Linked DNA regions of Caenorhabditis elegans. The protein of the gene in region 2 interacts with the protein of the main gene of each other region in a pairwise test. Each region holds a gene or a part of one and is shown on either strand. Other genes may lie near its edges.

The links.
Region 1: the proteins of ZC434.8 (region 2) and asna-1 interact in a two-hybrid assay, tested with the Caenorhabditis elegans proteins (one large-scale study listed by BioGRID).
Region 3: the proteins of ZC434.8 (region 2) and men-1 interact in a two-hybrid assay, tested with the Caenorhabditis elegans proteins (one large-scale study listed by BioGRID).
Region 4: the proteins of ZC434.8 (region 2) and pqn-83 interact in a two-hybrid assay, tested with the Caenorhabditis elegans proteins (one large-scale study listed by BioGRID).

What each region holds. Positions count from the first base shown.
Region 1 is NC_003281.10:8,891,848-8,898,775, forward strand, and holds asna-1 (ATPase asna-1), read left to right. Parts: upstream 1-3,234; 5' UTR 3,235-3,241; coding exon 3,242-3,675; intron 3,676-3,723; coding exon 3,724-3,982; intron 3,983-4,190; coding exon 4,191-4,400; intron 4,401-4,528; coding exon 4,529-4,654; 3' UTR 4,655-4,807; downstream 4,808-6,928. Other genes in the region: lnkn-1 (Protein linkin), read left to right, coding at 1-271, 885-1,370, 1,429-1,590, 1,897-2,028; ZK637.4 (uncharacterized protein), read left to right, coding at 2,366-2,434, 2,487-2,554, 2,604-2,657, 2,713-2,809. UniProt on the Caenorhabditis elegans protein: ATPase required for the post-translational delivery of tail-anchored (TA) proteins to the endoplasmic reticulum. Recognizes and selectively binds the transmembrane domain of TA proteins in the cytosol.
Region 2 is NC_003279.8:10,346,583-10,353,480, forward strand, and holds ZC434.8 (putative arginine kinase ZC434.8), read right to left. Parts: upstream 2,788-6,898; 5' UTR 2,738-2,787; coding exon 2,699-2,737; intron 2,650-2,698; coding exon 2,362-2,649; intron 2,317-2,361; coding exon 1,714-2,316; intron 1,670-1,713; coding exon 1,517-1,669; 3' UTR 1,473-1,516; downstream 1-1,472. Other genes in the region: coa-6 (PRORP domain-containing protein), read left to right, coding at 1-96, 143-207, 255-316, 370-680, 737-995, 1,057-1,372.
Region 3 is NC_003280.10:14,226,795-14,237,939, forward strand, and holds the start of men-1 (Malic enzyme), read right to left. Parts: upstream 7,062-11,145; 5' UTR 7,010-7,061; coding exon 6,984-7,009; intron 5,483-6,983; coding exon 4,581-5,482; intron 3,574-4,580; coding exon 3,110-3,573; intron 1,877-3,109; coding exon 1,544-1,876; intron 1-1,543. Other genes in the region: jmjd-2 (Lysine-specific demethylase 4), read right to left, coding at 8,500-8,661, 10,077-11,010.
Region 4 is NC_003281.10:13,095,215-13,103,121, reverse strand, and holds the start of pqn-83 (CX domain-containing protein), read left to right. Parts: upstream 1-3,666; coding exon 3,667-4,019; intron 4,020-6,205; coding exon 6,206-6,446; intron 6,447-7,907.

The DNA.
Region 1 (6,928 bases), on a different chromosome or scaffold from region 2:
AGCACAATATCCATTCGTTGGTGCTCCAGTTGTTATGGATGTTGATTCGGACGGTGAACTCGACATTCTAGTACCAATCTGCCGTGAAGATGAGTGCTCACACATTACTCAAATGGCTTCTTGGTCGAAGACTAAACTTTGGGGATTGGTGGCCTGTGATATGCAAGATTATACAGTTATTAAAGAACCATTTTCACGAGTTATATTCCGCGTTGGAGAATTCTCGTTGGACAGTTTCCCTGATATGGTGGTTATTGCGCAGGCAACCAGAGTGAGTTTAACAATTTTTATTTTAAACAGGATGTGGTTGTATACTTTTAAAAAATGTTCTATGGCTTGATAAGGCGTTATGTATATCTGATTCTTTAAAAGTTCCAAAAATCAACCTCTTCGTCTATTGAATTTGAATTTCGATTTTTAATTTTCTTTGAGTTTTGTAAGAAACGCGGCCGTGTACTCTTCTCGGACAATTAACTAATTAAATTTTTGGATTTCAAGTAATTTTTCGCATTTTCTTGATTTCCCTCGGTATGTTGTAACAGATGCAGAGACGCATTTTACTTTAATTAACAGACCACTCACTCCTAAATACAGTAATGTATCTTGTTCTGCTGATGAATGACACTTCTAAAATCACATAGTTTATTCATTTTCCTGTTTTTCATTGAATAATCAATTTGATAGTGTTATCGATTTTCATTAGAAATAACGGGAAGTAACGAGAAAATACTAGGACATGGCCTAAAATTCAAAAATTTAATTAATTAATAGTACGAGAAGAGTAAAAATAGGAAGATCAGACTTGATTTCCCAAAAATAACTTCAGTTAACTGAATAATGCAAAAAAAATTACCTTTCATTAATCAAAATTTGAATAATTTCAGGCCAACACTCGCCCTGTGATCAAAGTAATGGACAATGCAGAATGTACAAAATGTGAAAAGAACGGAACACGACGATTCGAAATCCGAGCTCAAGAGAATATTCAACCAAAAAATATGTCTCTCGGAGTCATCAAAATGGGAACATTTTTTGATCTTCTTGAAGATGGATCATTGGATCTTCTTGTTGAGTATGAATACGGTGGTCAGACACGTTTTGGATTCATCTACTGCCCTGATAAAGGAGATACAACATTCTTGAAAGTTCAAGTTTTCACAGGAGTTTGCAGTGATCGATGCAATCCAAAATCAAACGAGATTGGATCGAGTATCAGTATGACTGGTGCATGTGCTTCTTTCTCAATGACAGATGGATGGGGAGGTAGTACACAGAGTGTAGCATGTCAAGTTCCGGCTTCATCAAATAGAGCACTTTATCTCCCATTTTTGTTGTATGGTCTTGGAAGAAGTCCAAATTTTGTGGATGAGGTAATTTCATATCTTCTAGATATTTTCGTTCAATTATTCCAAATAATCTTTTTTTCAGTTGAATATTGCCATTCCGAAATACGCAGATCGTAAAGAAGATTGGAAACACAGTCTTAAACAGATTGTTCCAAATTCTCGGATTATTGTTCTCCCACCATCGGATCAATATCCACACTGGACGAGTCGGCTCTACGTCACACCATCAGCTCTTATTGTTCAGGTAAGATTATTATGGAGACGTGGACATACGCTCCAAATGGGAACGACGGAAATTGATAAAATAAAATTAAAAAATAAAAGAAAAAAACTTTTCATTTTTAATGCATTCTTTAAACATAATTTCGGCATAAAAATCATTAAAACTAACGAAAAACATTTCAAAATGGTTGCAAATACGAATTCGTTGAATTCACGGGTTTGCTGCCAAATAACTAACGAGACCCATGGCTCGGGGGCGGAGCGTAGTCAGTTGGCCATGGGGCACATTTCCACGTCTCTATAATAAATCGATATTCTCATTTTCCAGAGTCTTGCCGTCATTGCTCTCGTATGCTGTATGCTTCTAATGGTTGTCGTATTCTTACATTATCGAGAGAAAAAGGAAGATCGATACGAACGACAACAACAATCTCATCGATTCCATTTCGATGCCATGTAGATTTTTTTGTGAATTTTAAGATCATATCTTCTTGAAGACGAGATCGTTTTTTACGGGTTCCCATCATTTGTCTCTTTTTTTGCATATTTGACCTTTTGAAGCTTCATCCTGTGTTTAGATTTCCCATTTCGAGCTGTGATTGCACGTCGGAGTATTTTTAGAGATCAGCTTTAAATCCGAGTTTTCCTTGTTTGAAAATAGAAACATTATTTGAAAACAACTGTAATATTTATTCCACGTGACCCCTTACCCTCCATCACTCTCTTTATAAACTGAACAGAGACTTTTTCGTTTTTTTGACGAACTATTAAAATAAAACTTTTTGAATTTTTTCCTAATGAAGTCAAATCCAAAATATTTTCTAATGAATGACGTGGAGCGGCAGAGCAAATATTCGCCGAAATATGTGAGTTTTCTTCAAATTTTTGTTAACTTTAACAAAAAGTTTCCAATTTCAGGTTCCAAACAACAGTCTGAAAGAGCGAATTCTGGAGTTTTTGGATTATTACATTGCGCCATTGAAACTGTAAGTTTCATTTTATGGAAAATTCTCATAAAAAACTCAATATTTTCAGGTATCTTCTGTCTTACCCGATGCCGGATTGCCTTTGGGACAATCGAAAATTGAGGTATTACATCGGAAAATCGTTGCAATGACATGGAACCCACATTCATTTTTTTCAGATTGAAGGCCAGTGGTGTGCAAGTGACTCCGAGCTCCGAACCAGTTCATATCGATGATCGTCTAATTCACATTTCACAGAAACAACCGTCCGAATGATTTTTCGATTTTTATTTAATAAAGTTTTAGAAATTATTTCATTTTTTTCAAGTTTTATCCGTGTTCTAATGGTTTTCTATTACCTTATTATTATTTCTTCAGTTCTCCAAAAAAAAATATTACCCAGACATAAAATGTTGAGGTTTTGTAACCTGGGTCTCGCCCCGAGAAAATTTTGTTAAATGCAGAAAGTTGTGCGCCTTTGGAGTACTGTAATAAACACTTTCGGAATTTTCATAATCGAATCAAAAAAGTTATTTATTAAAGAACTTAACTCCTATCAAGTCGAGAAAACACTGTAGAAAAACAATAAAAATTTGTATCCATTTTTACTTGAAAAATTAAAAAAACTGCAAAAGGCTAGACATTTCTTTTTAAAATTTCAAACTTTAAATGCAAATAAACCTAAAACTTCTTTTTTTTTCAGAAATAATGTCGGATCAGCTGGAAGCCTCTATCAAGAATATTCTCGAACAAAAAACGCTAAAATGGATTTTTGTGGGTGGAAAGGGAGGTGTCGGAAAGACGACATGCAGTTGCTCATTGGCAGCTCAACTCTCAAAAGTTCGTGAGAGAGTTCTTCTCATCTCCACCGATCCCGCCCACAACATTTCTGATGCCTTCAGTCAGAAATTCACAAAAACTCCAACACTGGTCGAAGGTTTCAAAAATCTCTTTGCAATGGAAATCGATTCAAATCCGAACGGAGAAGGCGTCGAAATGGGGAATATCGAAGAAATGCTGCAAAATGCTGCACAAAACGAAGGTGGAAGCGGTGGATTCTCGATGGGAAAAGATTTTCTTCAAAGTTTTGCTGGAGGACTTCCTGGGATTGATGAGGCAATGAGTTTCGGGGAAATGATAAAGTGAGTGTCAATGATTCTGATTTTTAAAAAATCTATTATTTTTTTCAGGTTGATAGACTCTCTTGACTTCGACGTTGTGGTCTTTGACACCGCTCCAACTGGGCACACTCTTCGTCTTCTTCAATTCCCAACACTTTTGGAAAAAGTATTTACGAAAATTCTGTCACTTCAAGGAATGTTTGGACCAATGATGAATCAATTCGGTGGAATGTTTGGAATGGGAGGTGGATCAATGAATGAAATGATTGAAAAGATGACAACGACTCTAGAATCTGTGAAAAAGATGAACGCACAGTTTAAGGATCCTGTTAGTTTTTCAGATTCAAGTGATATTTAAAATTACTACGGAGATATATCACCCAGACGCGAAAATTGTCGTAAAATTCTGCATCTTGGTAATATGTTTTTTTAACCTTTTCAATTATATCAAGGGTAAATTCTAGCTTGATATATATTGAATTCAGAGATTTTAAATCATCAAAGTTTCTGCAGAGCATTCAAATATGTATTTACAGAATTGCACCACATTCGTCTGCGTCTGCATTGCCGAATTCCTCTCTCTTTACGAAACCGAACGACTTATTCAGGAGTTGTCCAAACAAGGAATCGATACTCATAATATTATTGTGAATCAACTTCTCTTTCCGGATACCGATGCAAATGGAACAGTTTCATGCAGAAAATGTGCATCGAGACAGGCGATTCAGTCGAAATACTTGACAGATGTGAGTTTAAATGAGAAGTTTGATAAATTATTAAATTAGAAACTTTGAGCAAATTAATATTGAATAACCACAGTGCATTTTTGACTCTGTCGTGATTTGCTAGATGCGGAATAAATCAATTTTTCCAGATCGATGAGCTCTACGAGGATTTCCACGTCGTCAAACTTCCACTTCTTGAGGCAGAAGTGCGTGGAGGGCCCGCAATTCTTCAGTTCAGCGAACGGATGGTGGATCCTGAAGCTAACAAAAACTAAACTAATTTGTTCTCCTACAAAATCAACTTGTTCTGTGGTTTTTTATGTTAAAAGATTCTTCCTATCCCATGTTTTTTCTCCAAAATTCCCTGTCCCCTTATTTCTCGCTTTATTGTGGGTGCCTTTTTCGAATCAAATGAATAATTTATGATATTCATTGTTTTTTACTTAGGATTGAAGTATATTTGGAACATAATTATCTTTCAAACTTCAGCCTGGCAAACTATTTTTGTCAAGTAATCATTTTAATTAGCTAGATTTTAGACGTAATTTCTTTCAAATAGTACCTAGTATTAGGCAGCCGACAGGTCATGGGACCAAGCAGTACATTTTTCCGACTGCTAGACTTCATCCGACACTTACCTAGATTCAGAGAATTCAATTTTCACACAACTTGTTAAAATCTCTAGTTTACGAGCTTGTTTTTAACCAGACTTATGGATCCTGAGAATGGAGGGCCATGGAGCCTCCATGGAGGGGATGGCAGTTGGAGATACAATGATTTTGGAGTAATTTTACCTTCGTATTATTTTTCATGTGATTTCATTTTCAATTCACTTAGCCCCGTTTCCTAATGTTCAAGTTGCTATTTCCAATTTATTTTCCTTGGTCCACTTCATATTCCTTGGAATTTTTTCTGCATTCAAATTACCAAATAGCCACGTGCAATATCCCATTCTCTGCAGTTTTGAAATTTGAATTTATACAATAAACATGAGTTGTCAAATATTCAGTCTTAATCTGATATTAGTTCAAATATATTCCAAATCAATTCCAAATATATTCGAAATATATTTCAAATATATTCCAAATATATTTAAAATATATTCCAAATATATTCCAAATCTATTCCAAATATATTCCAAATATATTTCCTATTCTACTAATCTTTTTCTCAATTTCTGTGCGAAATTGTGTTATTATCGTACCAGGGAACAGAGATATGACCAAATCTGTACTCACTGTTCAGATTTTTTATAAAAATGGTGAAAAAAGGCTTTGGATAATTCCAAACATTCATTTGGCAGAAGCTGGAAGTTAATGAAACACACACCGCAGCTGTTAAAACTTATATAAATATATTTTCTGTTTCCAAAATTATAAACTTGTAAAATAAAACCGTTTCAAAACTTTCACGATCGAAAATATGATGCGTGCCAAAAGGACGTCAGAATATATTTGGAATATATTTGGAATATATTTGAAATATATTTGGAATACATTTGGAATAGATTTGGAATATATTTGGAATAGATTTGGAATATATTTGGAATATATTTGGAATATATTTGAAATATATTTGGAATATATCAGTTTCCGGTAATTTTTGTTTGTCCGCTAAGATACTTTGTCACCCAAAAGTTTGTTATCACGGAGAATTGATCAACTATGCTTGATTTATTGCTTTTATACCCCTTATGATCCTTTGAAGCTGAAGGATCAGATCATCAGGAGGTACCCATCTGATCCTTTGAAGCTGAAGGAACAGATCACCAGGAGGTACCCTTCTGATCCTTCGGAGCTGAAGGATCAGATCACCAGGAGGTACCCTTCTGATCCTTTGAAGCTGAATAATCAGATCATCAGGAGGGATCATTGTTCATACATTCAATTGTGAGTAGTCAAGGCCGAAAATCCATGGAAAATTGCATTTAAAAACTTATTCCAGTGAAAAAAAAACAAAAATCGATTGAGAAATATATATAAAAAACTAGTTGAAAAAGTTTGTCACCGAAGATACGCCCGGTCAGAGACAAATGGCACTTTGTCGACTGGATACCATGTCACTTTGGATACTTTGTCCCCAAAAATACCTTGCCACCCTAAAAGTTTGTCCCCTCGGAATGAAGGCCATTTTGATGCATCTCAATCATCTCCAGATTCTTTGCAAGAAGATCATTACTTGGTGCTGGAGGCGGAGACAGAGCAAGAGCTCTGCGTGGAGGGCGTCGTTCTTCTTTTGGCTGAAACTTGAAGACATGACAACAATAACGTCGCGTATTGCACTTTTTTGAGAACAAAAAATCCACATTTCATCTGGAAAATATTTTTTGAAAAACAGTAAAGAAGAAAAAGAAGGAAATAGAAAACCATTGGAACACGAATAAAATGTGAAAAATAAAATCATTTCCCCGTTTCATTGAAGCAAAAGTATTATGTAACAGAGTTAAAAAGTGATGGGAAAGTTTGGCGAACTAGTATTGACTAGTAGTATAATAGTGTTACAAGCATAAAGTTCAAAACAAAAGATGAAAATTTAAGTAAAAAAAAATT
Region 2 (6,898 bases):
ATCATTCTATAAATGATGAGGAAGCTCGACTAACACTGAAAAGGCTGAAAGATAACATCGAAAAATGCAAAATACATAAGATGCAGGAAGAACACGGTTTACATGTGGAAGTTCCAACAAATTGAAAATAGAGTAATTTTAGATAAATTTCGCATGTCGTTGGACCAAGATGCTGCAATTCCAGATTTTTCAAAGGTTATGCACAAGGTAACATATTTCTTATCTGAAATGTTTTTTTACTTTTAATACTTCAGCAAGATTTGGTGAGATGCTATTTTCGACGAGAGCTGGCGAATAAAAAGTGGAAAACTGTGAAGTAATTGCATATTTAAATCAAATATTTCAATAATTACCATTCAACTTTTTCAGGCAACTGCTCTCACGTTATCCTAAAAATATCAAGTTATATGAGCATATTAGTGCTTTCCTGGATGCTGCAAAGCTTGAAAATGCAGAGCCCATTGATATTATGCAGGTTTTTATGAACTATGCGCAAGTCGATAATCCACGTTTCATGGAACAAACTGAATTTGATGAAATCTTCAAACAAGTGGCCGAAGCTTGTTCTGCAAAAGTATCCGTAAAGTCAGAGCTAGATGTCAAAAAGACTTACATTTCCGAAAAAGAAGGAAAGATACTAAAAGAAAAGTGCGATAAATATGTGGAAAGTATGAAAGAAGGTAAAATATTATATCTTACATCTGTATCTGTGGTTTTTACTTATTTGCAATTTTAGGGTTCGTCAAAAAGGAGGAATACGAGAAAATTCGGCAGAAAGTTTTGCGATGGATGGAAGAAAGAAATATTCGAAATGGAGAGAATGTGGTTGTCGTTGATGCATTGAATTTCGGTTATGGAGTGGATCCGAAAGAATGGGATGATATTTCCAGCAAATTCGAGCATGTATTCTTTGCAACTAGACGGATATCAAACCAAAAACTACGGAAAGAAGTGATGGAAAGATATAATGGAAATGCTCTGTTTTGTGATAAATTGTGAGTTTTCAAAGATCTGGCTTTTGGTTTTAGTTCCATTTTTGAAAATCAATTTTTTCAGGTCCACAGATGACCTCATAATAATTCGAATGGCTCTAGAATTCGGTCCGGAGACGTCAATTGTTACAAATGATAAATATACTGATCATCGTTCAGCAATCTGTAATGGTGATCAAAAGTTGGAGAAAATTTTCGACGATTTTCTCACTGATGCATCACATCGACACTTCCATGGCCGAATCGAGACGAGACGGAATTTCAATATTCGAATTCGTAATCCGGATAATAGAATATGGATACTGCCCGTTATGAACTCAGAAGGAAAGCTGTCGAGAAACATTAAACGTTATAAAGTTGAAGTTTTTAGAAATAGTTGATATACGTGTTTCTAATTGTGTATTGTTTTTGTCATGTAATAAACACACTATTCATGATCCTCGATTTAATTTTTTTTGACTTTGAAAAGAATATAAAACTATCTACTAAAATTTATTCCAAATCAGAAATTGAAAGTGATCTTCTTAGGCGGCGGCCTTCTCCAATTCAATCAACTTCTTCAATCCATCGTACATCTGACGAACTGCTTGATACTCGGTAAGCCCAAGACGCTGCTTGTTCGAGATGTCATAGATTCCTTCCTTCGATTCCGAATGTTCTCCATGAATTCCACGAATCTGAAAATTATAATTTGAAAACTGAAATAAAACTTTAAAAATACCTGAAGCTTCATGTCACTGCAAATCTTCTTGAAATCGTCCTTTGCCGAGATCTTTGGCAGCTTAATGTGAACCGATGCACGAACAGTTGTTCCCAAGTTGGTTGGACAGAAGGTGAGCCATCCGAGACGTGGATGACGAGCGAATGGAGCCTTGGCAGCGACGAGGTTCAGTCCTTTGATGAGTCTGGCGAGAACTTCACCAACATTTCCTCCATTTTGCATAGAGATGATACGCAAGTGATCCTCCTCGTTGACCCAAACCAAGAAAGTCTTCTTCTCATTGTGGAAGATTCCACGTCCGTTTGGCCAATAACGGTTGGCATTGGCAGCCTTCAAGAAGCGATCACCTTCTTTGAAGAGGAAGTGATCAGCAATGAGCTTCTTCTTCGTCTCCTCATCCATTCCAGTCAGAGGGTAGTACGTTCCCTTGAGCTCGGGATCGGTGATGCTGTTGAAGATCTCCTTCATACGGGTTTCCATCATCTTGTAGTTGGTCTCAGAGAGACATGGATTGAATGGGTATCCTTGCAGAGAACGTCCGCAGCGGATACGTGTCGACACAATGAATTTGCCCTCTGGGTCGAGATCGGCAAGTTCTCCAACCTAAAATGTACAAAATAGAATTAAAAACAATTAAAAAGTAATTACATTTTTCTCTCCCAAATCCATTGCTGGTTGAGTGTCGGTTGCCTTGAATCCATTGTGGTACTCTTCGATCACAGGATTGAAAAGATCCGCGAACAAGGTGTAGCTCTCCGCGTCTGGAGCATAGATTCCGACTCCCGAATCGAGGTTCTCTCCGCCCGACTGAATGACATCCAAAAGAGTTGCTCCGAGACGGGTCTTCTTCGACTTGTTCTTGGCGACAACGTCCTTTGTCAAGTGCTTCTTGAGAAGTGACGAGCAGTCAGAAGCTCCTTGGAGTTTCGTGTAGACCTGGAAACAAAAACAAACGTTAAGAACTTGAAAACTTAAGAAAACTCACTTCTTCAATCGATTTCTGAACTTCCGGGGTCGCTGTCATATTCGATGATGAAACGTGTAACAGGCGGTTCGTTCTTTGAAGAGCTGAAGCTGTTAGACTGATGATTTTTGGAAACGAAGCCCTTTTATACAGACGATAATGTGGCAGAACGTGGGACCGTGACATTCTATATAATACAGTGAAAATGTATTTTGAAAGTTCAAATTACATCGGAGTTCTTAAAAAAAAACTTCACGTATTCATAATTAAACATATTTTTGGGGTATAGCCCGCTATAGCGCCAGTGGGGAAATTGGTTTAAAGCACGCCTATGATACAATTTTTTGAAAGTCGATAAAATCTCAGTTTTTTCTTAATTAAATGTTCGGAAGAAAAAAGAAAAAAAAACAAGTTAAATGCAATTTTCAATAAAAAAAACGGTAAACTGTAAAACAAACTACTTTCAGATTCGTCGTCACCGGAACGTATAATTTTACACTTGCACGCGTTTTCAGTTAACTTTTAATGATCAATTTGCATTTAACCTGCTTTTTTCTTTTATTTTCAGAAAAGAATATACAAAAAATGAAAAATTCAAAGAAATAATGAGAGAAAAAGTAAATAAATGATGAAATGAAAATAATGCAAGCGCGCTCTATCGAACAAACAGTTTGGCGGCAGGTTCAATTTAATTGTCAAAAACTGATATTTTTCTGAGATCAATTTTTAATAGATCATATGCAATTAAGAAAAAATTGTTGAATTAAAAAAAAAATACTCGGTCATTGTATACAATGGTACTACAATTGTAGTACCATATGCGTGTATTACAGAAATTTTCCCACTGGCACTGGCGCTGGATAGGGCTACTTCAGATTTTTTGTTGGTATACTTATGTGTTTTTCATAAATTAAAAAATTACACAGCAACTTTTCAAAGTTTATATAAAAAATATCCCCAAATGTCTAATCCGTGACGTTCCAAAATTAGACCCGCCCACATCTTGAATTTTGTCAAAAGCTTTTTGGTATAGGTGCGTTTCTTTTTATTATCTTGAATTTTCAAACTATTTTTAAAACAATATTTTCTTCCAATCAATTTTTATTCCCACACCTTCTTTACCAAGCCATCCTACGTAATCTGTTTCTTCAGATTAAAATCTAGCACTTTATTCTTCTATTTGGTTTTTTCAGTTGCGAGATTTCCGAGAATTGCCCAATTGGGAAATGATGTATGAAAGTTTTTTCAAAGGAAAACATTATAAAGGACTGCATAAATTATTTAGAAGAAACAAGGGAACCACACCCACTAAACGAAATGCCCCGTGGGCAATCAAGAGAGTTTTCTCACACATTCTTATGTTTTGGAATATTCAAAGTGGTCCGGGGTTTATCTTCATAGCAACTTATCTTCATGTGTCTAATATTAACTACAAACGGTTTCAGAATTAAATTGTTTAATGGAGAAGGGTGCCAACCAATCAGCGACGCGCTAAAAACGTTTATTGGTAGAAATTTATTTTGCGCGCGTATTTAAAAATTTTTCTAGCCCTGGCTTTTGTATTTTGAAAAGCCCTTTCCATGAGTTTAAAATAGCCTACTTTCCTCTAGAAACACTGCTTAATGTTCAAATTACGTAACTTACCGTAATCCAGTTCTTCCAGAAGACTATAGAAAAGTGTTTGGAACGGTTGAAACCTGTCACTTTTTCTTATCATTTCACACATTCACAATTTCTTCCATCATTTCCCCGGACTTTCTCTTCTTTAGGATACTATCCTTCTCCTTAACCCAATAACTTCTCCTTTTTTCCAGTCTCCCATTTTTCCGTTATCCGTATTCTTTCCCTTTCTTATCTTTTTGTCCCTCATTTTCCACTCATAGTCGTCATCAGGCGGCATCTATCAGATCCAGTTTGCCAACACACGCGGGAAAACGAAAAAACCAAAGAAGAATAAGAAAATGGCAGAAAAGAGATTTTTGTATGTGTGTTTGTGTGTGTGTCCTGTGTGTATGTCTGCCAATGTCTGTTGCAGATGCTACTGTTGTTTTATGCTTACTCTTTTATTTTAATAATCTATTAACTAACCTGAATAGATTTTAGATTTATTTTAAAAGAGTTTTGTGCTCTTAAAATTAAATTCACAGTCAGAATAGTCTACACATTTTGGCCTTTGCTTTGTTTAAATTTTGTGCTCACAACATCTTTCAAAAACAGAGCGCAGAGTGTCTGAAAATATTGTTAAATCAGTTTCTAGAAATATACCTCGTATTTGCCTGCCTACGTGGTTGCCTGCCTATCACCTATTCTCAGCAGAATTTCGGCATTTTGTAACCGTAGAGTATGTTTAGATTTCTAATTCCCAGTTCATTTGTTGGAATTTTAAGAACTGCGTGTAGGCGCAACGCAGGCGTAGGTAATATTGAAGGCCTATGGTCAAGCTTTTTGTGGCTTTGACAATTTGATAAGTTGAAAAATATAAATAACGAGCAATATGTATTTCTCACCAATTTTCTGAATTTCAGTAACTTTACAATAAAAAATATATATTTTAAACAAAACACAACAATCATTCTTCTACTCTTCTTTTTTTCAATACTTCCAAAAAGTTTTCCATTCAATTTCTGATATCATTCGTCTAAATTCCTATCTGTCCTATTTGCTTGAACTACTCCAAGTGTTATCCTCAAAAAAAAAGTTCGCAAGGAAACCAAAAATTTTATTGGTTGCCAAATTGGTTGATAAGGATCTATCTGCGAAGTTCTCTGTCATGATCTTGATCTTTACGATGTTATTGTTTGAAATTGGTTATGGCAAAAGAAAAGGAACATTGTGATAACTTTGAGTAATTGATATTTCAAACTTTTCAAAATAAAATTGAGAAAGTACCCTAACTATGAACAATTTATTTTGAAATCAAGGCAAATACATAGTTTCTTTTAAAAATTTTACCGCGGAGCAACTTTCGCCCGAAATCTTTTGGTAATTTCAAAATTTATTAAAATCCGCAGTTACAAAGCCTTAAAGATGTCACTGAAATGTCACTGAAAATTAAAAAATTACACTATTTCGCAAAAAAAAAAACACACACACCAAAACATGAGTTTAACAATCTCCAGAACTTCGGCAACTTGGCTGCCGCAATAATTGCTGGTTTTCAAAAATATTTGCTAAAAATGCTAAAAATATCTGCCTACCTACCATTAAACTCTACTCCCCCTTCCTATCAAACTTTATACTTTTCCAAACCACAATAAGTGAAAACCGTGTATTACATTACTTTTGGGGGATCAAAAAGTTAAATATATTACTACGCGTCTTCCTTGTTCAAAGCATAATCGTGTCTTGAACTTCACTTTCTAAGAATAGAGAGGAAAGAGGCGGAGTCAGACACTTTAATTCACTTTCAGTCAAATGACCCTCTCAAGATGGGAAGAAAGAGGTACATGTAGAGTTTCAAGAATTTACGAAAGTAATCACACATTACTATTTTATAGTGGAGGTTAGAAAAAAAACTCTGAAAAGTTACTCATAAGTTAGGCTATGCAATTTTGGAAATTATTTTGGTACAAGCATTCACCGGTTCTACATTCAATTTTTTTAAAGAAATTTCAAAAAGTTATGAAGAACGAGCTTAACAGATTTCTAGGCCACTGATGACGTCACCTTTGTACTGAATATAGCTCGTTTCGACGTATCAACCATCTACGACCTTACAACCCGTGCATTAGTCTGGGTCATTTTTAGGTAAAGAAAATTTATAAAAATAACTATTTTCCATTTATTCTCCTTCTATTAACTGTTATAACTTTCAAATATAATTCCAGATCTCTAGTATTATGACTGATTATCTGCGTGGTTCCTGTTTTTTCTAGCCCTCTGCATAAATCAATAAATCAAGGGAATATATCCACAATGGTCACTTCCAAAATACAGTTCCAAAAACACTTTGTTCTAATTCTTTTTCCATCTCAAAAACCTATTCACTTATATTTTTTCAAGAGGTGCTTCTTCTTCCAAACCACCACATTTTTGCCATTTTCCTCTTTCTTATGATTCATTCCATTCCGTTTCAATTTTCGACGACCTTCAAAACTCTTTGAAACTATTCATTTCTGAACTTTTTCTCTCTTCTTTTTCACCTTTCACGCTAATTCAACGAATAAGTTTTAGTTTCGGGGTCAGTTTCAGTGTAAGAAAGAATACGAAAATGACTGTTTT
Region 3 (11,145 bases), on a different chromosome or scaffold from region 2:
ACGAAATTTTTTAACAAATTTTTTGAGAAATTGCTAGTTAAAAATTAATTAAAAATTCTCAAAAAATCCCAAAATTTTTGACAATTTTTTAGGGGAAAATTGCGTTTTTTAACTTCTCATTTTCCTTTTTTTTGAGATTTTTTTCGGAAATTTCGGGTTAAAAATTGAAATTTCTCAAAAAATTCCAAAATATTTGAAAAATTTTAAGATTTTTGACAATTTTTAGGGGAAACTATTATTTTTAGAATCAATTTTTCACTTTTATTTCCAAGTTCAAGGTCAAAAAAATCGAAATTTTCAAAAAATTAAAATTTCCCAAAAAAAAAAAGAAGCAAAATTTCTCTTTAAAAAATTGAAATTTCCAGAAAAATCCGAAATTTCCCGAAATTTCCCGACATTTTCAACCCGAAATTCAGAATCAGCATACTTTAATTAACAATTTTCAGCTCATTTAAACGAAATATCGTAGAATCCGGTGCCAAGTACGCAAACACCGAAGCTCTGCGTACTTCTGAGGCTACAGTAACCCGGAAATTTTCAAAATTGAGCTAGAGACTCCAAAAAAAAGACGACTAGGGGCGAAATTTTACGAGGAACTCGAATTTTGCAGTGTCGATTAATCTGCGGCTCGTGTGTACTCCCCGAGGAGAAGTTTGCGTTGTTTTTGCAAGGAAATTCACGTTTTAGGCTAAAAGTAGTCCATTTTTGCTGATTTTTTGATTTTTAACGATTTAAATCACCTAATTTATTGATTTTTTAAAGTTTTTAGTGAAAATAAATGAATTTACTGCTGAAAATGCACTAGAAACCAGAAAAATCGTACTTTCACCGGAAAAAAACCTATGAAAATGAGCAATTCGAATAGTAAATTCGGAAATTCTCCTCGGGGAGTACACGAACCGCGTAAATCGACACACGGTCATATTTTTGCATTCGAAAAAAAATGTGAAAAATTATATTTTCAGCAGTTTTTTTCGGAAAAATCGTCAGAAATAAGTAGAATTTTTCAATTTTAGGCATAAAATTGTCTAAAAATCATTTTTGAAGGTATTTTTCAAAATTTTTTCATGTTTTTCAGCTAAAAATGCTTTTTTCCATGAAAAATTATTCTTTTCCTCGAGGAGTACACGACTCGCGTAAATCGGTACACGGCCATTTTTTGCATTAAAAAGTGAGGAAAATCAATTTTTTCGGGTGGGGAAAAGTCTTTTTTTGTCATTTTTAAAAATGTTTTTCATCCATTTTTCATGTTTTTTCAGCTTGAAATGCTAGGAAAATCGAAATTTTCCCGATTTTTTCCAAATTTCCACTCAAAAAATTGCTTTTCTCTCCGAGGAGTACACGATTCGCGTAAATCGACACATGGCCATTTTTTGCATTAAAAAGTGAGGAAAATCACTTTTTTTCGGGGAAAAGTTTTTTTTTTTGGTATTTTTCAACAGTTTTTCATGTTTTTTTCAGCAAAAAATGTCTAAAAATTGCAGGAAAATCGAAATTTTCCGACGTTTTTTTTTTTCAAATTTCCACTCAAAAACAACCGCACCATATCATCGGGTTTCGGGTGCAAAGTGGCCAAATCGTGTCGATAACAATACTCGCCAACTTCTACGGCAATTTTCACCGAAAGTTCTCGAATATCCTTCAGACGTGGATATACACGTGAATACGTGTTCAACGACTTCTCCGATACGGCTTCGGCGACCATACGGGCGGCCAGAAGGAACAGCTTGTCCGGAATGTTTTTGGTACGGAAGAGGACGGCTCCGAGAGCAACACCCGGGAAGATGTAGGCGTTGTTTCCCTGTCCTGGCTTATAGAGTTTTCCATTCATTTCGACATTTTCGAACGGGGATCCGGAGGCGAAGAGGACGGCTCCCTGCAAAAATTGGGTATTTTTGGAGGGAAAAATAACTGATTTTTCAGATTTTTCATTGAAAAATGATTTTTAAGATTAAAAATTGACATTTTTCCAAATTTTTCCATAGAAAATTAATTTTAATTCCATTTAAAATCATTTTTCCACGAAAGAGCTGAAAAATATAAATTTTTATTAAATTCTAAAATCATTTTTTCAACTAAAAATCTAAAAAGAATAAATTTTAAAATTGACATTTTCCACAATTTTCTTCGAAAAAATTAACTTACAATTGGAAGAAATTGTACCTTTTTAAAGATTTTTCTGTTAAAAAACAAAATTTAATTCAATTTAAAATCATTTTTCCGTAAAAAATCTGAAAAAACGACGCAACTTTAAATTATAAAATTGACTTCAATAAATTAAAAACTAAAACATTATTTTAAAATGATTTTTTTTTAATTAAAATTGGCATTTTCCAGATTTTTTAAAGAAAAATAAATTTAAAATATTCTCTTTGCCGTGGAAAATATTAATTTTCAATTAAAAAAGGTTAATTTTTGATTTATAAAGTCACTTTTTAAAAGGTAAATCTGAAAAAAAACGGTCAATTTTTGAATTTCAAAATAATTTTTCCATGAAAAATCAAGCGAAAATTGGCAAATTCTACATTTCTCAACTAAAAAAGTGCAGATTTTCTCCATATTTTTCCAGTTTTTTTTTCCAATTTTCGTTATTATTTTTATTACTATTTAAAAATTACTTTTTTCCCAGATTTTTCATTTAAAACCGCTCTAAATTCTAAAAATTGATATATATTTTAGATTTTAAAATTTAAATTTTCAGATTTCCAGATTTCTCTTTGAAAAGCGACTTTAAAATTACTATTTTTCAGGTTTTTCATTGAAAAATGGCTCTAAATTGTAAAAATTGAGATTTTTTAAGTTTTTTATTTGAAAAAAAAAACATTTTTTCATGGAAAATCTGAAAAAAAAACGGTTAATTTTTAACACAAAAAGTCCGGAAAATTATACATTTGGATTTAAAAATTTTTGATTTTTTTTCCATGAAAAAGCTGGAAAATAATAATTTTTAACTAACTTTTCATTGGAAAAATCTGAAAAACGGCGAATTTTTGAATTTAAAAATTCACTTTTCCATGAAAAATGCAGTAAATTCAGCTCAAAAAATCTGAAAAATTCAGATTTTCTCCATATTTTTCCAGTTTTTTCTCTAAATTTACATATCCCGTACATTTGTGCAGCGATAAGCCGTCTCCGCAGTGCATTCTGCTTTACTTGTAGGGTTGGACAGTGCAAAAATGATTGGCCTCGGGTTCAGCCGAGCCATTTCCTTAATAATATCCTCCGTAAATGCTCCAGCCACCGTAGATGCTCCGATGAGTGCTCCAGGCTTGACAGTCTTCACAACTTCCAGCAGATTCTTGGTATCCGGAAGATCTTTAGCGAATTTCACATGTCTCTCGCCAAGAGATTTACTACGAGACGTCGTGATGAGTCCTTCAATATCAACCATATAAATCCGACCGCAAGCTTCTTCCTCCGACAATCCCTCGTCCATCATCTGTCGGACACACATTTCGGCGACTCCGGTGGCGGCTCCACCGGCTCCGAGGAAGACGATCCGTTCCTGGGAGAGCTTCTTCTTGGTGATACGAGTTGAGGCGAGCAGGCCGGCGACGACGACAGCGGCGGTACCTGGAAATTTGCAAAAAAATTTTTTTTACAAAATTTATTTCTAACTATTTTTTAATTTTTTTTTTTAATCAAAAATTTCAAATCTGAAATCTGAAAACAAAAGAACTTTTAATTTTTAATTTTTAAAACTATTTTTTAAAGACCTTTTTTTTTTGTTTCCTATTTTATATTGAAAAAATCCAAATTTCCTGGGAAACTATTATTTTTAGAATCAATTTTTCACTTTTATTTCCAAGTTCAAGGTCAAAAAAATCGAAATTTTCAAAAAATTAAAATTTCCCAAAAAAAAAAAGAAGCAAAATTTCTCTTTAAAAAATTGAAATTTCCAGAAAAATCCGAAATTTCCCGAAATTTTCCGACATTTTCAACCCGAAATTCAGAATCAGCATACTTTAATTAACAATTTTCAGCTCATTTAAACGAAATATCGTAGAATCCGGTGCCAAGTACGCAAACACCGAAGCTCTGCGTACTTCTGAGGCTACAGTAACCCGGAAATTTTCAAAATTGAGCTAGAGACTCCAAAATAATTACATGGCTAGGGGTAAAGAAATTTTACGGAAAACTTTTACGGCGGAATTTTGCAGTTAAAATATAAAGTTATAAAGGAATATATCCCCTCAAATTTGCTTCACTATTTTTTTGAAACTCCAAAATTCGAGTTTCCCGTGAAACTTCACCCCGGGCTGTACTTTTTTTTTCGAGTTACTAGCTCAATTTTGAAAATATCCGGGTTACTGTAGCCCCGAAAGTACGCAGCGCTTCGGTGTTTGCGTACCAGACACCAGATTCTACGAGATTTCTTCGTCTAAATGAGCTGAAAATTGGCGCACAGGGCAATAAAAGTATGCTGATTCTGAATTTCATATTTGAAAACAGTGAAAATTCAGATTTTTTTTGAAAAATTTCGGCCAAAATGCAATTTTTTTTCTCAAATGTGCATTTTAAAGCCTTTTTCTCCGATTTTTTCGCTTTTTTTCCTCAATTTCCCCCCTGCCAAATTCTACCTTGAATATCATCATTAAACATGCAATATTCTCCCTTATACCGATCCAACAACCGATACGCATTCTGATTTCCAAAATCTTCAAATTGAATCAGCGTATCCCGTCCGAACCGCTTCGTGGCCGCCTTCATAAAATTATCGACGAGCGTATCGTATTCGGGACCTCTAACACGCTTTCTACGGAGCCCCGTGTAGAATGGATCGTTGAGCAGCTCGCTGTTATCAGTTCCCACGTCGAGAATCACCGGGAGACACCATTCCGGGCGAATCCCTGCGAGCGCAACGTAGAGTGCAAGTTTTCCAACGGGAATTCCGATTCCATAGGTTCCCAGGTCGCCGAGGCCGAGGATCCGCTCTCCGTCAGTGATCACAATTGCTCGGACGTTCTCTGTCGGCCAATTTGCAAGAATCTGATGGATTTTACTAATACTATTATCATTAATAGTAATGTAGAGACCCTTTGGGTTACGGTAGATGAATCCGAAATGCTGACAGGCTTGTCCTACGGTAGGAGTGTACACAATTGGCATGAGCTCCTTCACATTATCGCAGAGCACTCGGTAGTAGAGCTTCTCGTTACGATCCTGCAACGAGTCCAATTGAATGTACTTGGCAAGGTTGTCAGGTTGCTGGCGGAGTTTTGTGATGATACGGTAGGCTTGTTGCTCTTCGGTCATAAATGCGGGTGGCAGAAGCCCGTGAACTCCGAGATATTGACGTTCGTGGAGGGAAAAAGCCATTCCCTTATTGAGCCCGGGCGACTTGAGCAGGTCGATTCCTCGCTTCTGGGGTGTGGTGCGTTCCGGGCGGTAGAGCTTGTGAAGGGCCAGAGTTTTGGGATCGGAGAGATCCGGCTCGTTTTTGTCGCTCAGGCATCGTGTTGATGTGGAGAGACGGCGGATGCTGGAAATTTGGGGATTTTTGGTTTTTCATTGAAAAAAATGGCAAAAATTCAGATTTTCCCGGAGAAACCCATTTAAAATGACCGAAATTCAAATTTTTCGGAAAAAAAAATCCATAAATAATGGCTAAAAATTCAGATTTTCATGGAAAAAATTTATTTAAAATCGTTAAAATTCAGATTTTCCAGAAAAAAAACTATTTAAAATGGCTAAAAAGTAGATTTTCACGGAAAAATGTATTCGAAATGGCTGAAACTCAGATTTTTCTGGGAAAATGCCATTAAAACGGCTAAATTTCAAATTTTCCGGAAAAAAATCCATAAAAAATGACTAAATATTCAGATTTTCCCGGAAAAATCCATTTAAAAGGCTGAAAATCGGATTTTTTGGAAAAAATTTTTTTTAATGACTAAAACAGTAGATTTTCACGGAAAAAATGTATTTGAAATGGCTGAAACTCAAATTTTTTAAATATAAAAAATGGCTAAAAATCAAGCTTTCCCAGAAAAATCAATTAAAAACGGCTGAAATTCAGATTTTCTCCGAAAAAAATTCATGAAAAATGGCTAAAAATCGGATTTTCTCGGAAAAAATCCCTTAAAAACGGCTGTAATTCAGTTTTTTCCAAAAAAAAATCCATTGAAAATAGCGAAAATTCAGATTTCTCCTGGAAAAACTCATTCAAACGGCTCAAATTGAGACTTTTTCCCGGAAAAATACATTAAAAATAGCGAAAAATCTGTTTTTCCAGAAAAAAAACTATTTATAATGACTAAAACTCAGATTTTTCCGAAAAAAAATTGATTACAAATGGCTTAAAATCAGATTTTCCAGGAAAAAATGCATAAAAAATGGCGGAAAATTCATTTTAAAAATGTTGAAATTTTAGATTTTCCCGGAAAAAATCCATTAAAAATTGGCTGAAATTCAGATTTTTTCGGAAAAATCCACCAACTGCGGCTAAAAATCAGATTTTTCTGGAATAAAACCATAAAAAATGTCAAAAATTCATTCAAAATGCCAGAAATACAGACTTTTTCGGAAAAAAATCTAGTAAAATGGCTGAAATGCAGATTTTCCCGGAGAAAACCATTTAAAATGGCTGAAGTTCAGATTTTTTTAGAAAAAATAAATTTAAAATGATTAAAACTCAGATTTTCCAAGAAAAATTGGGCAAAATCGCAGAAAAATCGCAGAAATTGAAATTTTCATAGGTTTTTATCGAAAAAATCTACAAATTTTTTAAATACTCGTCAAAATTCGTAGACTTTTTCAACGAAAACCTGTAAAAATTTCAATTTCTGCAATTTCTCGCAGAAAAATCGATATTTTACGCATTTTTGCCGAGACCATCTGAATTTCACCCATTTTTCATAAATTTTTTCCGAGAAAAGCAGAATTTCAGCCGTTTTAAATGGATTTTTCCGGGAAAATCTGAATTTTTAGTCATTTTTAATACATTTCTCGAATTTCAGCTAATTTCAACGCAAAATCCTCCCTACCTGGCAGGCGAAAGACGGCTCAGCATTTTTCGTGATTCCCGCACGGTTGTGAAACCCAAGAGCAAATGAGAATTGATTCTGAAATGAGACGGAAAAATGTAAAATTTCGATAAAAACTTTTTTTTTTGAAACACGTGAAATAAAAACGGTGACAATTGATAAGAAAAATGAGTGCATTTTATCAATTTTTATTCAGAAAAAATTATGGAAAACCTGAAAATTCGGGAAAACTCGCGGTGAAACTGGAGAGACAATTGCCTGAGAAGCCACAAATGGGGGCGCCCGTCGTCTATCGATCCACGTATTCTTTCGGGATAAACTATGTGCGAGAGATCTGCACTCAGCGGAGAGACGCAGGGAGAAAAAGAAAACAAAAACACGGGCGGAACTCTTTTCTTGAAAAAATGAATTTTTATTTCAAAAAGTAAGATGGAAAATCGTTTTTCCTTCGAGTGGCGGCGAAATGAGTGCTTGGGGGAGCAAGTATGCGGTGAGAGGAGGGAAGAGGGAGAAAAAGCGAGAAAAATGATGTTTTCCCGTGTTTTTTTCTTGTTTATAGCGATATTTTTCGATCAAGGTGGCCTTGTCATCGAATTAGCCGTGATCTTTGGGGTTTTAATTGGAAGAAACAGATATTTTAATGCGATTTTTTGAATTTTCCACAAAAAATAAAGAAATTAGTTTATTTTTCCTCTCGAAAACCGACAAAAACTCAAGAAAATAACGAAAATCAATGAAAAAAATAAAGAAAAATTGTCGTCAAATGTGGCGCATTGGCCGCAAAGTACGCAGTTGCCGTGTCAATTCACCGGCGCCAATTCGAATTTTGAAAGGTTTTTTCATTAAAAAATAGCTTTTTAAAGAGAATTTCTGGATTTTGAACTGTTTTTTCATTAAAAATAGCTTTTTAAAGAGAATTTCTGGATTTTGAAAGGTTTTTTCATTAAAAAACAGCTTTGAAAAGAGAATTTCTGGATTTTGAAAGGTTTTTTCATTAAAAAACAGTTTTTTAAAGAGAATTTCTGGATTTTGAACGAGTTTTCCGGTTATTTTCAATATTTTCCCACTCCCAACGCAGCTGTCAGCTCAACACGTGTTCACAGGAAGTCAACAAATCGGATAAAGTGATCTTTGGCCAATTTTTCTGATTTTTCGACGGAATTATTTGATAAGAATGCGATTAGTGTGTTGGCATTTGGAAAAAAAAAGGTTTATTAGATAAATTGATCAATTTCGGGGAAAACATTTAAAAGTTTCTGCAAAATAATAGGGAAAAATAGCGAAAAATATTTAAATGACAAAAAAATACAGAAAAAAAACAGAAAAACAGGGATAATTAGAGATTCTTCGACTTTTCGTACAAAAAAAAACTGGGGGGAAAAGAGGCGCAGAGATCACATATTTGAGGGTAGACGGGCGGGAAAGAGAGAATATATTACATTTTGACAAGAATTTTTTGTCAGGGACTATTTAATAGTAAATTTTAAAAAATCGAATATTTATTTATTTATTAAAGCTATTTTTTGAGATACGCGTTCAGTTCTCGCTTCGTTTTCAGCCTGTTCCGTGGATGGCGGACTTCTCGGCCATCTTCCAGTCGGACCGTGTACTCGATCATCTGTCCTTTTCCACGGAAGTACGCGTCGTAGACTTGCTTGTCGTCCCACACTACTTTTACCTGCAAAACAAATTGGGGAATTTATTGATTTTTTTGGGGGTTTTTAGGACTTTTTTATAGTATTTCCGGGCTTTTTCTTTATTTATAATTTATTTAAAAAAACAGGAAAACCCATTAAAAATGACTAGAAGACTTGAGTTTTCCCTAGAAAAATCGTGATTTTAAAGGGGAAAATCTGAATTTCGGCTGTTTATAATGAATTTTTCCCGAAAAATCTGAAATATTCAGCTGAATTTTAGCTATTTAAAAACAATATTTTCGAAAAAAAAAATCGGATTATTAGCAATTTTAAACAGATTTTATCGGGAAAACCTGAATATGAGCCATTTTTAATACATTTTTACAATTTTTTTGTAAAAATCTGCACAATTTATAGTTTTTTTTTCGGTTTTGGCCTGAAAAACTATAAATAAGACGATTTGTGTGTTAAAATACCGAAAAGAATTGCCCGAAATTGAGGATTTTATCGAAAACCTTGTCCTCGAGGACTACACGAGCTCTTTAACTCCAAAATTCGAGTTCTCCGTGAAATTTCACCCCTGGCTGTACTTTTTTGGAGGCTTTAGCCCAATTTTGAAATTTTCTCGGTTACTGTAGCGCCAAAAGTACGCAACGCCGCGGTGTTTGCGTACCAGGCACCAGATTTGACGACATTTTGTTTAAATCAGCTGAAAATTGGTTCACAGGGCAATAAAATCACGCTGATTCTGAATTTCGTATTGAAAATGAGAAAAATTCGATTTTAAACACTAAAAATTGTATTTTCGGCGTTAAAAAATCGGAATTTTCCACATTTCGATTAATTTTCCAACATTTTTAATATGAAAATCAGAATCAGCATGATTTTTTAGCCCCGTACTTCATTTTTCAGCTCATTTAGACGAAATTCCGTAGAATCTGGTGCCAGGTACGCAAACACCAAGGCGCTGCGTACTTTCGGGGCTACAGTAACCCGGAATTGTGAAAATTGAGCTAGAGACTGCAAAAAAGTACAGCCAGGGGTGAAATTTCAAGAGGAACTCGAATTTTGCAGCAAAAATCATCGAAAATTTGAGGAAATTGACGATTTTTTTTGAAAATTTCAATTTCCTGGTGGAAAATCAATATTCCCCAGCATTTTTAATATAAAATTCAGAATCAGCGTACCTTTATTGCCCTGTGAATTAATTATGAGCCAATTTAGACGCAATTTCGTCAGATTTGGTGCCAGGTACGCAAACACCATTGCGCTGCGTACTTTCGGGGCTACAGTAACCCGAAAATTTTCAAAATTGACCTACAGACTCGAAAAAAGTACAGCCAGGTGTGAAATTTCACGGAAAACTCGAATTTTGCAGTTAAAATACCGTTTTAATGGTAAAATGTATGGTGGGAAGTTCAAATTTTTCAAATTTTTTGTTGCAAGATATACTCACTCTCGCCCCATACTGATGATCTCCGTTCTCACAGAACAGGCATTCACACGAGATGATATCCTCCACGTGATTATCACGACTACAGCTATTATCAAGGAAGTCAACGACAACGGTCTCCTTCTTATCAGCTCGTACGATGGCTCCTCTCGTGAACAATTTCTGCGGCGGCTCCACCACGTCCTCCACAAATACAAAATCGCCGACTTTCACGTTAGTATAGGCCTGCTGCTGCGTCGTCTTATTCACGAGATACGAGTGCTCGTGCTTATGACAGATCATCACAACGCCACGTGGATAGTCACGAACTTCACACACAAATCCAACACGGCGAGCACACGTGACATGAGCCAGTGTTGGAAGCGATGTGGTCGCCTGCTCCTCAATACAGAGCACACACGGAGCCAGACCCTCGTCTGTTCGATGGCAGACGACACATTCCCAACGGGAATTCTCGTAGAGATCGCCGAGCTCCGCGCGATACTCTTCGCTGAGCCGCCGGGGGGGCATCCGTGGGGTCTCCGATTGCTGTCGGGGCGATGGCTCGACGAAGCATGCTCCAGGCCGGTTTGGGCAATCAAAAATGGCTCTTCGATTGAAAAGAGCACACGCCACGTGAGCCCACGTCGAGTCTGTGCCGATTTGGCACGGGATTAGTGCTCCGCCGCGGAGTTCGCAGAGCTGGCAGGACGTTGTTCGGATCTCGACGTCGGTTCGGTTTCGGCATCGTGGGCAGCGCCAGGGCTCTCCGGAGCTTGTGACGTCATCGTCGTCGCCGCCGCCGCCGCCGCCGCCAGAGCAGCAATGAGAATGGACGGTGACGTGGCAGTTGGAGCAAGTGAGCAGACGGTCCAGCGGTGGTGGCGGCTCGTGGTGATCCTCGTGCTTTTTGGTGTCGGTTTTCGAGAAGCACCATTTTGGGATGAGCCGGCGAGATCTGGAATGATAGAAATTGAGAAATTGAGGAGAAAACCAATTTTTCAATGATTTTTTGAATTTTTTACACCAAAAAATCAGCAGTTTTTCATCGAATTTTAAGCTAGAATAGGCTGAAAATCTTTGTTTTTAGTTA
Region 4 (7,907 bases), on a different chromosome or scaffold from region 2:
GTATTTCTTCGCATTTCCCAATTTTCATCCCAAGATAAATAAAATTATATACTCTGTGATAGCTGAACTCGATCGATATTTAGTGATTGGAAGTTTTTAAAAAAATGTGCTTTATTGGAAAATAGTTCTTATTTTAATTGAAACATTTAAAAAAAATGCAAAAAAGTCGAAAAAAAAATATTTAAATTTTCCAACTTTCAGACATTTTTTAAAAAATATTTACAAAGCAACGATTTTTCTACATTCTATCACTAAATTTTGATGAAAAGGAAAAACTACTAAAAAAAACTAAATTTTCCTCATAATTCGTTCATTGCGAAGAAATAATAATAGACTATGATTTTCTCGATTCCCGTTTCTTTCTCTGAATCCACACATCATATAAATCGAAATCATCGTCAACGCAAAATTAGTCTCACAATGGTTATTATAATGGTTTCACTGTTGTTATGTCGAATTATAGGCGAAACATATTGTTGTGTTGCCTCGACTGATGATTCTCGAACTTTCCGTCTCGTCATATAGTTTGGGAGAGAACTATTCTATTTCCAATATTTTCGGCGTTTTTTTAGCGTTTTTCAATGGAAAATGTTGCTAGTTTGGTTTTAAAATTGTTATAATTAGCAAAGTTGAGGATTATAATTTTAATTTGAGATCCAGTCAATTATTTTTTTTTAAATTATTTTCTAGTTTAGTTTAAAGGTGGCCTTCTGGGTTTGTTGTCTTAAACTGTAAACCTCAAAAGTACGAGAAAATTTTACTGATTGTATATTTCAGCTTGAAATCGCGAATTTCATTTGTGCAGATTTTTCAAACACCGAATTTTCGCGCCAGAGCCGCCATGTGTCGATTTACGAAAATTTTGATAATTATCGGATGCTGGTTTTCATTTTTCAACGAGTTTCCTTTATTTTCGTCGGCTTTTGCCAAAGTTTTTTTTTGAAATTGAGTTTTTTAAGGTTAATTAAACAGTATATTATTAAAACGTCAACAAAACTTTCAGCCGGGAAAGATTCAGATTTTCCGTCGAGTTGTGACCATCGGAAATTTTTTGTTCGTTTTTTGATAATATAATGTTTAATTGACGTTTAAAAACACATTTTCAAAATAAAAACTTTGGCAAAAACAGACGAAAATGAAGGAAACTCGTTAAAAATGGAAATCAGCGTCTTATAAAGATTTAAAATTTCATAATTATATTGTAAAAAACGATTTACGAAATTTGTGTATATTTATAAATATACAAAAATCTCGTAAATCGACACATGGCCGCCCTGGCGCGAAAATTCGGTGTTTGAAAAGATTTCAAGCAGAAATATAAAATCATCGAAATTTTTTCGAATTTTTTCACTCAGATATTCGAAATCAAGGGAAAAATTGGATTCATTTAAAAATATATTGATCAGATTTCAGTACTCCACCTTTAAATATAAAATAACTTCTTGACAAAAAAGTCTACAAAGTCAAATAACACGTCTCTTGTATTATGGGGTTATTCAAGTAGTGTCGGAAAATTAAAAAGTGTAGAAAAATTACGTCACAACTGTATTCAAGTATATAAAAACATGTATTTAAATACATTTGTGACGTCACAAATGTATTTAAATACATTTTGCTAAATTACTTGAATAACCCCATTAGTCACCGATCCAATTAGGTACCATCCACTAGACAATCGAATTATAAATTCGTCATATATAAGCATCATATATAGAAGTTTCCCACACGTGGTTCCTCTCTTGACCTACACCTACCTCCCCGACTGTGTATGTTTTTCGTCTCGCGACGACGAGGACCGTTTCCCTTTTTCCATTTCACTTTTTCCACCCATCGATTCAAAACAACACTGTCTAGTTTCCACGTCATCTAGTATCTGGCAAATGAAGTGATGAAATCACGAAACTTACCACAATAAAACAAAAAAAAAACTTTGCCGTTTTGACCTTCACTCCCTGGTGATTTCTCGATTTCTCCTTCCCTTCTCGTGAATAGAAGAAGACACAGAGACCGATACCGATAAAATCGATAAAGCCACCACAACCGCCGCCCATTCTCGATTTCGATCCGCCGGCCGGTTCCGGTTTAGTTTTCGGTTGTTGTTTTCCCACTGTGAACTATTACGGGAATAATAAATCATGAGAATGCGTACGTGGAGCATTTTATTTGACGCGTGATTTCTCTTAGCGAAAACTACAGTAAGAACTCAAATAACAATAGTTTTTCAAGTTCTTACTGTAGTTTTCGCTAAGAGATATCGCGCGTCAAATAAAATGCTCCACGAACGCATTCTCATGATTTATTGTTCCCGTAATAACTAGCAAAGTCAACTTTTGACTTTACAGCTGTTCAAATTGCTCTGTTTTTTTTTGCTCTGAATATATGAGCCTGAGCCATATTGAGCTGGGCTATTGAGTCGAGTGTTTCCGGTGGTTCCCCTATTTTGGCTGTTTTGTGCTCACCTTGACGGATTTTGTTACATAATCCTTTTTTTTTTCAAAAAAGTGTGCGGCAATTGCCGTTCGGCAAATCGGCAAATTTCAATTCCGGCAATTTTCTGATTTGTCGGAAATTTCAATTCCGGCAATTTGCCGATTTGCCGGAAATTTCAATTCCGGCAATTTGCCCATTTGCCGGAAATTTAAATTCCGGCGATTTGCCCATTTGCCGGAAATTTAAATTCCGGAAATTTGCCGATTTGCCGATTTGCCGGACACTTCAATTCCGACCATTTGCCGATTTGCCGCAAATTTCAAGTCTGACAATTTACCGAAAGTTTCAATTCCGACAAGTTGTCGATTTGCCCGAAATTTCAATTCCGGCAAGTTGTCGATTTGCCCGAAATTTCAATTCCGGCAAGTTGTCGATTTGCCCGAAATTTCAATTCCGGCAAGTTGTCGATTTGCCCGAAATTTCAATTCCGGCAATTTGCCCATTTGCCGGAAATTTCAATTCCGGTAATCTGCCAATTTGCCGGAAATTTCAATTCCGGTAATTTGCCGATTTGTCGGAAATTTCAATTCCGGCAAGTTGTCGATTTGCCGGAAATTTCAATTCCGGCAAGTTGTCGATTTGCCCGAAATTTCAATTCCGGCGATTTGCCGGTTTACAGAAATTTCAATTCCGATAATTTGCCGATTTGTCGGAAATTTCAATTCCGGCAAGTTGTCGATTTGCCGGAAATTTCAATTCCGGCAACTTGCCGATTTGCAGGCAAAAAATCATTTGCAAATTATCATTATTATTTTGTAAATCAAAAAATCTTGAGATATATCAAAACTATGCTGATTTTAATTTATAAAAAAGTGAATTTTTGCCGACTTTCTAGAAATCTGAAAATTTACTTATTCTTTACTCACAAGATTGAAACAAAAAATCATTTTTGGCTAATTTCCCCTGCTTGAATTCCCTCCAAAAAGTGAACTGCACGACCAATCAGCGTCTTCGAACTCCGCCCACTCCTTCTGATTGGCTGAAAAGGGGCCGGAGCGAATCGCTGATTGGTCATGCAGATCTCGTTAAGTTAGATTTTTATTCTTTCGCGATTTGTTCAATCTTTCGCGATAAATGACGAAAAATACTATAATTTTTATGATGAATAAACGTTTTTCTCTCTAAGATGATTTCCCGTACCAATTTGAAAAACGACACTTTTTATTGGTTTTTCAGATGTTCCGGCATCTATATATAGGCCTCATCAGTCTTCTAGTCTTGACCGCCGGCCCGATCGAGGCCCGAAGATCTTCGAGTGGCGGTGGCAGCCTGTCAGGTGGCGGTGGAGGTGGTGGTGGATTCTCGAGTCGCGGACAGAGTGGATCAAGAACTGGAGTTCAACAAGGAACCGGAGGAGGAGGATTCAACAATAATCAAGGAGGATTCCATCCGAATCAAGGATCCGGTGGATTCAATCAGCCACGACCGAACAACAATTTCAACAATAATCCACAGGGAGGATTCCATCCGAACCCGAATCAAGGTGGCTTCCACCCGAATCAGGGAGGATTCCATCCAAATAATGGAGGGTACGGGCTTCAAAGTTTGGCTTAAAATACCTGAAACAGTCTCTAAAATTCAAGAAAATCACGAAAGAAATTGGAAAAAAGTCGAAAAATAATTAAATTTTCAACTTTTAACCGAAATTTTAAAGGTGGATTTTAGTGGAGTACCGAAATTTGAGACGTTGCCTTTTTAGACTAAAATTGGTCCAAAACTACCGAATTTGTTAATGAGAAGGTCTGAAAATTTCTCAAAAAAAAAGTTATGGCGGTTCAAAGTTCGGCAAAATAAGGCCCATTTTCAGCTAAAATCAAAATTATTTACATCTTCTCGGTGTCGCAACGTCTGAAACCTAATTTTTATTTAATTATCACTTTTTAATGAATATTGTGGTTTTTGATTGGGCGTTTATTCGCTGATTTAAGTACATTTATGGTTTTTGGGGCACAAATAAAAGTTACATTTTGTGCCCCAAAGACCATAAATGTGCTTAAAACAACGAATAAACGCCTAATCAAAGACCACAATATTTATTAAAAAGTGATAAATAAATAAAAATTAGGTTCCAGACGTTGCGACACCGAGAAGTTGGAAAAAATTTGAGTTTAGCTGAGAATGGGCTTTATTTTGCCGAACTTTGAACCGCCATAACTTTTTTTTGGGAAATTTTCAGACCTTCTCATTAACAAATTCGGTAGTTTTGGACCAATCTTGGTCTAAAAAAGCACAAAGTCTCTAATTTCGGTACTCTACCTTCAAATTTTTCAGAAATTTTAAGAGATTTTTCTGAAAATCTAAAAACCAAACTATTTTGATTCTAAATTTTAGTGGAAAAAAATTCGACACCCCTTCTTCCAACGTGGTTGTCAGGTTGTCTCATTGCGGTTCGATCTACAGAAAATGCGGGAATTTTCCCCCCCAGGAAAATGTTGAAAAGTCTGCGTCTCTTCTCCCGCATTTTTCGAAGATCAAACCGGAATGGGACACTTTGACACATTTTTTAAGACGTCTTGAAAATAAAAAATAACTCAAAATTCGAAAATTTCAAAAAAAATTCAATTTTGTACCAAAAAAAAACTGAATTTCGTAATGTCAGACGTCTGGAAAATTTTTTAAAAATTTATATTTTTGTTCAAAACTCAAAAAGCCCCTATTTTGAGCTAAAATTTCGAAATTAGCGTTGATTTAGGCACATTTTCGGTCTATGGGTGCACAAAATTCTGAGAATGCGTATTGCACAACATGTTTGACGCGCAAAATATCTCGTAGCGAAGACACTACAGTAATCCTTTAAATGACTACTGTAGCACTAATGTCGATTTACGGGATCTCGATTTTTGAAATAAAATAAAAAAGTTTTTTATCGATAAATAGTGTTGAAATTAATTTATCGATCCTTAAATTTTGCAAAAAAAATTATTGTCGCACAGAAAACGGGGTGGGGCGTAACTTTCGCAACACTGCCGCACGGTGCTAGTCTCCTCCCCTTTTTAATGCTTTTCCTGTTGATTTTTTCAATAAATTTTCCATTTTACTTGTATTTTTCTCTTTTTTTCGAAATGGATAACATTTTCATTTGAACAAAAAAGAAAAGAAAAATACAAGTAAAATGGAAAATTTATTGAAAAAATCAACAGGAAAAGCATTAAAAAGGGGCGGAGACTAGCACCGTGCGGCAGTGTTGCGAAAGTTACGCCCCGCCCAATTTTCTGTGCGACAAATTTTTTTTTGCAAATTTTCATGAATCGATAATCTAATTTCAACAGTATTTATCGATAGAAAATTATATTAATTCATTTCGAAAATCGATCCCGTAAATCGACATTACAGTAGTCATTTACAGAATTACTGTAGTTTTTTTTTTCGCTACGAGATATTTTGCGCGTCAAATATGTTGTGCAATACGCATTTTGTGCAGAAATAGACCGAAAATGTGCGATTTTAGGTCAAAATAGGGTTTTTTTTCGAATTTTGAACCAAATTAAAATTTTTTAGAATTTTGCCAGACGCCTGACATTACGAAATTCAGTTTTTCTGATAAAAAATTGGATTTTTTTTTCTTTTTTTAGCTCAAAGTAGTGGTTTTTACGAGTTTTGTGTCCAAAATTGATATTTTTTTATGAATTTTGCATCGAACTGAAAAAATTAAAAATAAATAAAAATACATTTTCAAGGAGCCTGACATCAACCAAAAACCGTCAAATTTTTCCAGATTCCGTCCAGGCACCGGTCTCGGCTCTCAATCGAGCAGTGGAACATTCAAGAAAGCTCTGATCGGTGGAGCTCTCGGAGCAGCCGGAGGAATTCTAGCCTATGAAGCCGGAAAAGCTATTATCAAGTCGGCAACCGAGCCATTTAATTACAATGGACGTAACTATAATTGGGATAATCACGGACAAGTTCGCAATGGAGAATTCCAGTGCTCAATTCCGTTGAGCCAGTTGACCGCGCAGGTGGGAATCAAAATTTTGAGTTTTTTGCCGGAAATTTGCCGGTTTGCCGGAAATTTCAATTCCGGCAGTTTGCCGATTTGCCGGAAATTTTAATTCTGGCAATTTGCCGATTTGTCAGAAATTTCAGTTCCGGCAATTTGCCGATTTGTCGGAAATTTTAATTCCGGCAATTTGCCGATTTGCCAGAAATTTCAATTCCGGAATTTTGCCGGTTTGCCGGAAATTTTAATTCCGGCATTTTACCGATTTACCGGAAATTTTAATTCCGGCAATTTGCCGATTTGCCAGAAATTTCAATTCCGGAATTTTGCCGGTTTGCCGGAAATTTTTAATTCCGGCAATTTGCCGATTTGCCGGAAATTTTAATTCCGGCAATTTGTCGATTTGCGGGAAATTTCAATTCCGGCAATTTGTCGATTTGCGGGAAATTTCAATTCCGGCAATTTGCCGATTTGACGAAAATTTTAATTCCGGCAATTTGCCGGTTTGCCGAAAATTTTAATTCCGGCAATTTGCCGATTTTCCGGAAATTTCAATTCCGGTAATTTGCCGATTTGCCAGAAATTTCAATTCCGGTAATTTGCCGATTTGCCAGAAATTTCAGTTCCGGCAATTTGCCGATTTGCCGGAAATTTTAATTCTGGCAATTTGCCGATTTGCCGGAAATTTCAATTCCGGTAATTTGCCGATTTGCCAGAAATTTCAGTTCCGGCAATTTGCCGATTTGCCGGAAATTTTAATTCTGGCAATTTGTCGATTTGCGGAAAATTTCAATTCCGGCAATTTGCCGGTTTGCCGAAAATTTTAATTCCGGCAATTTGCCGATTTGCCGGAAATTTCAATTCCGGCAATTTGCCGGTTTGCCGGAAAAAAATTTGCTGGAAAATATTCCTAAAACTCGGAACTTCCATTTAAAAAATCGATTTTTTATTCTCTAAAAATCCCATTTTTAACGAAATTAAAAAAAAATCCGAGAATTTTCAATTTTTGGAATTTTTTAACATTTTGTAAAAAATCGATTTTTTTTGTGTTAAAAACTTGTATTTTTTCATGAAAAATTTTTATTTTCACCGAAAAAATCTGAAAAATTCAATTTTGCCGTCAAAAAAGTACCAAAAACTCTGAATTTCGAGAAAATTTCAATTTTTGTCGAAAATTTAGTAAAAATCCTAATTTTCTGTATAAAATTATCTCGAAAACTCGAAATTTATAATGAAAAATTCCAAATTTTGTCGAAAAACTTGAATTTTTTTTGAAAAATCGATTTTCACCGGAAAAAATTGAATTTTGCGCAAAAAAACTCGGCAAATTGCCGGAATTTAAAATTTCCGAAAAACCGGCAAACAAGATATTTGCCGGAATTGAAAATTTTCGGCAAATCGGCAAATTGTCGAAAATAAAAATTTCCGGCAAATCGGCAAACTGGCAATTTTCCGAAAATCAAAATTTCCGGAAAATCGG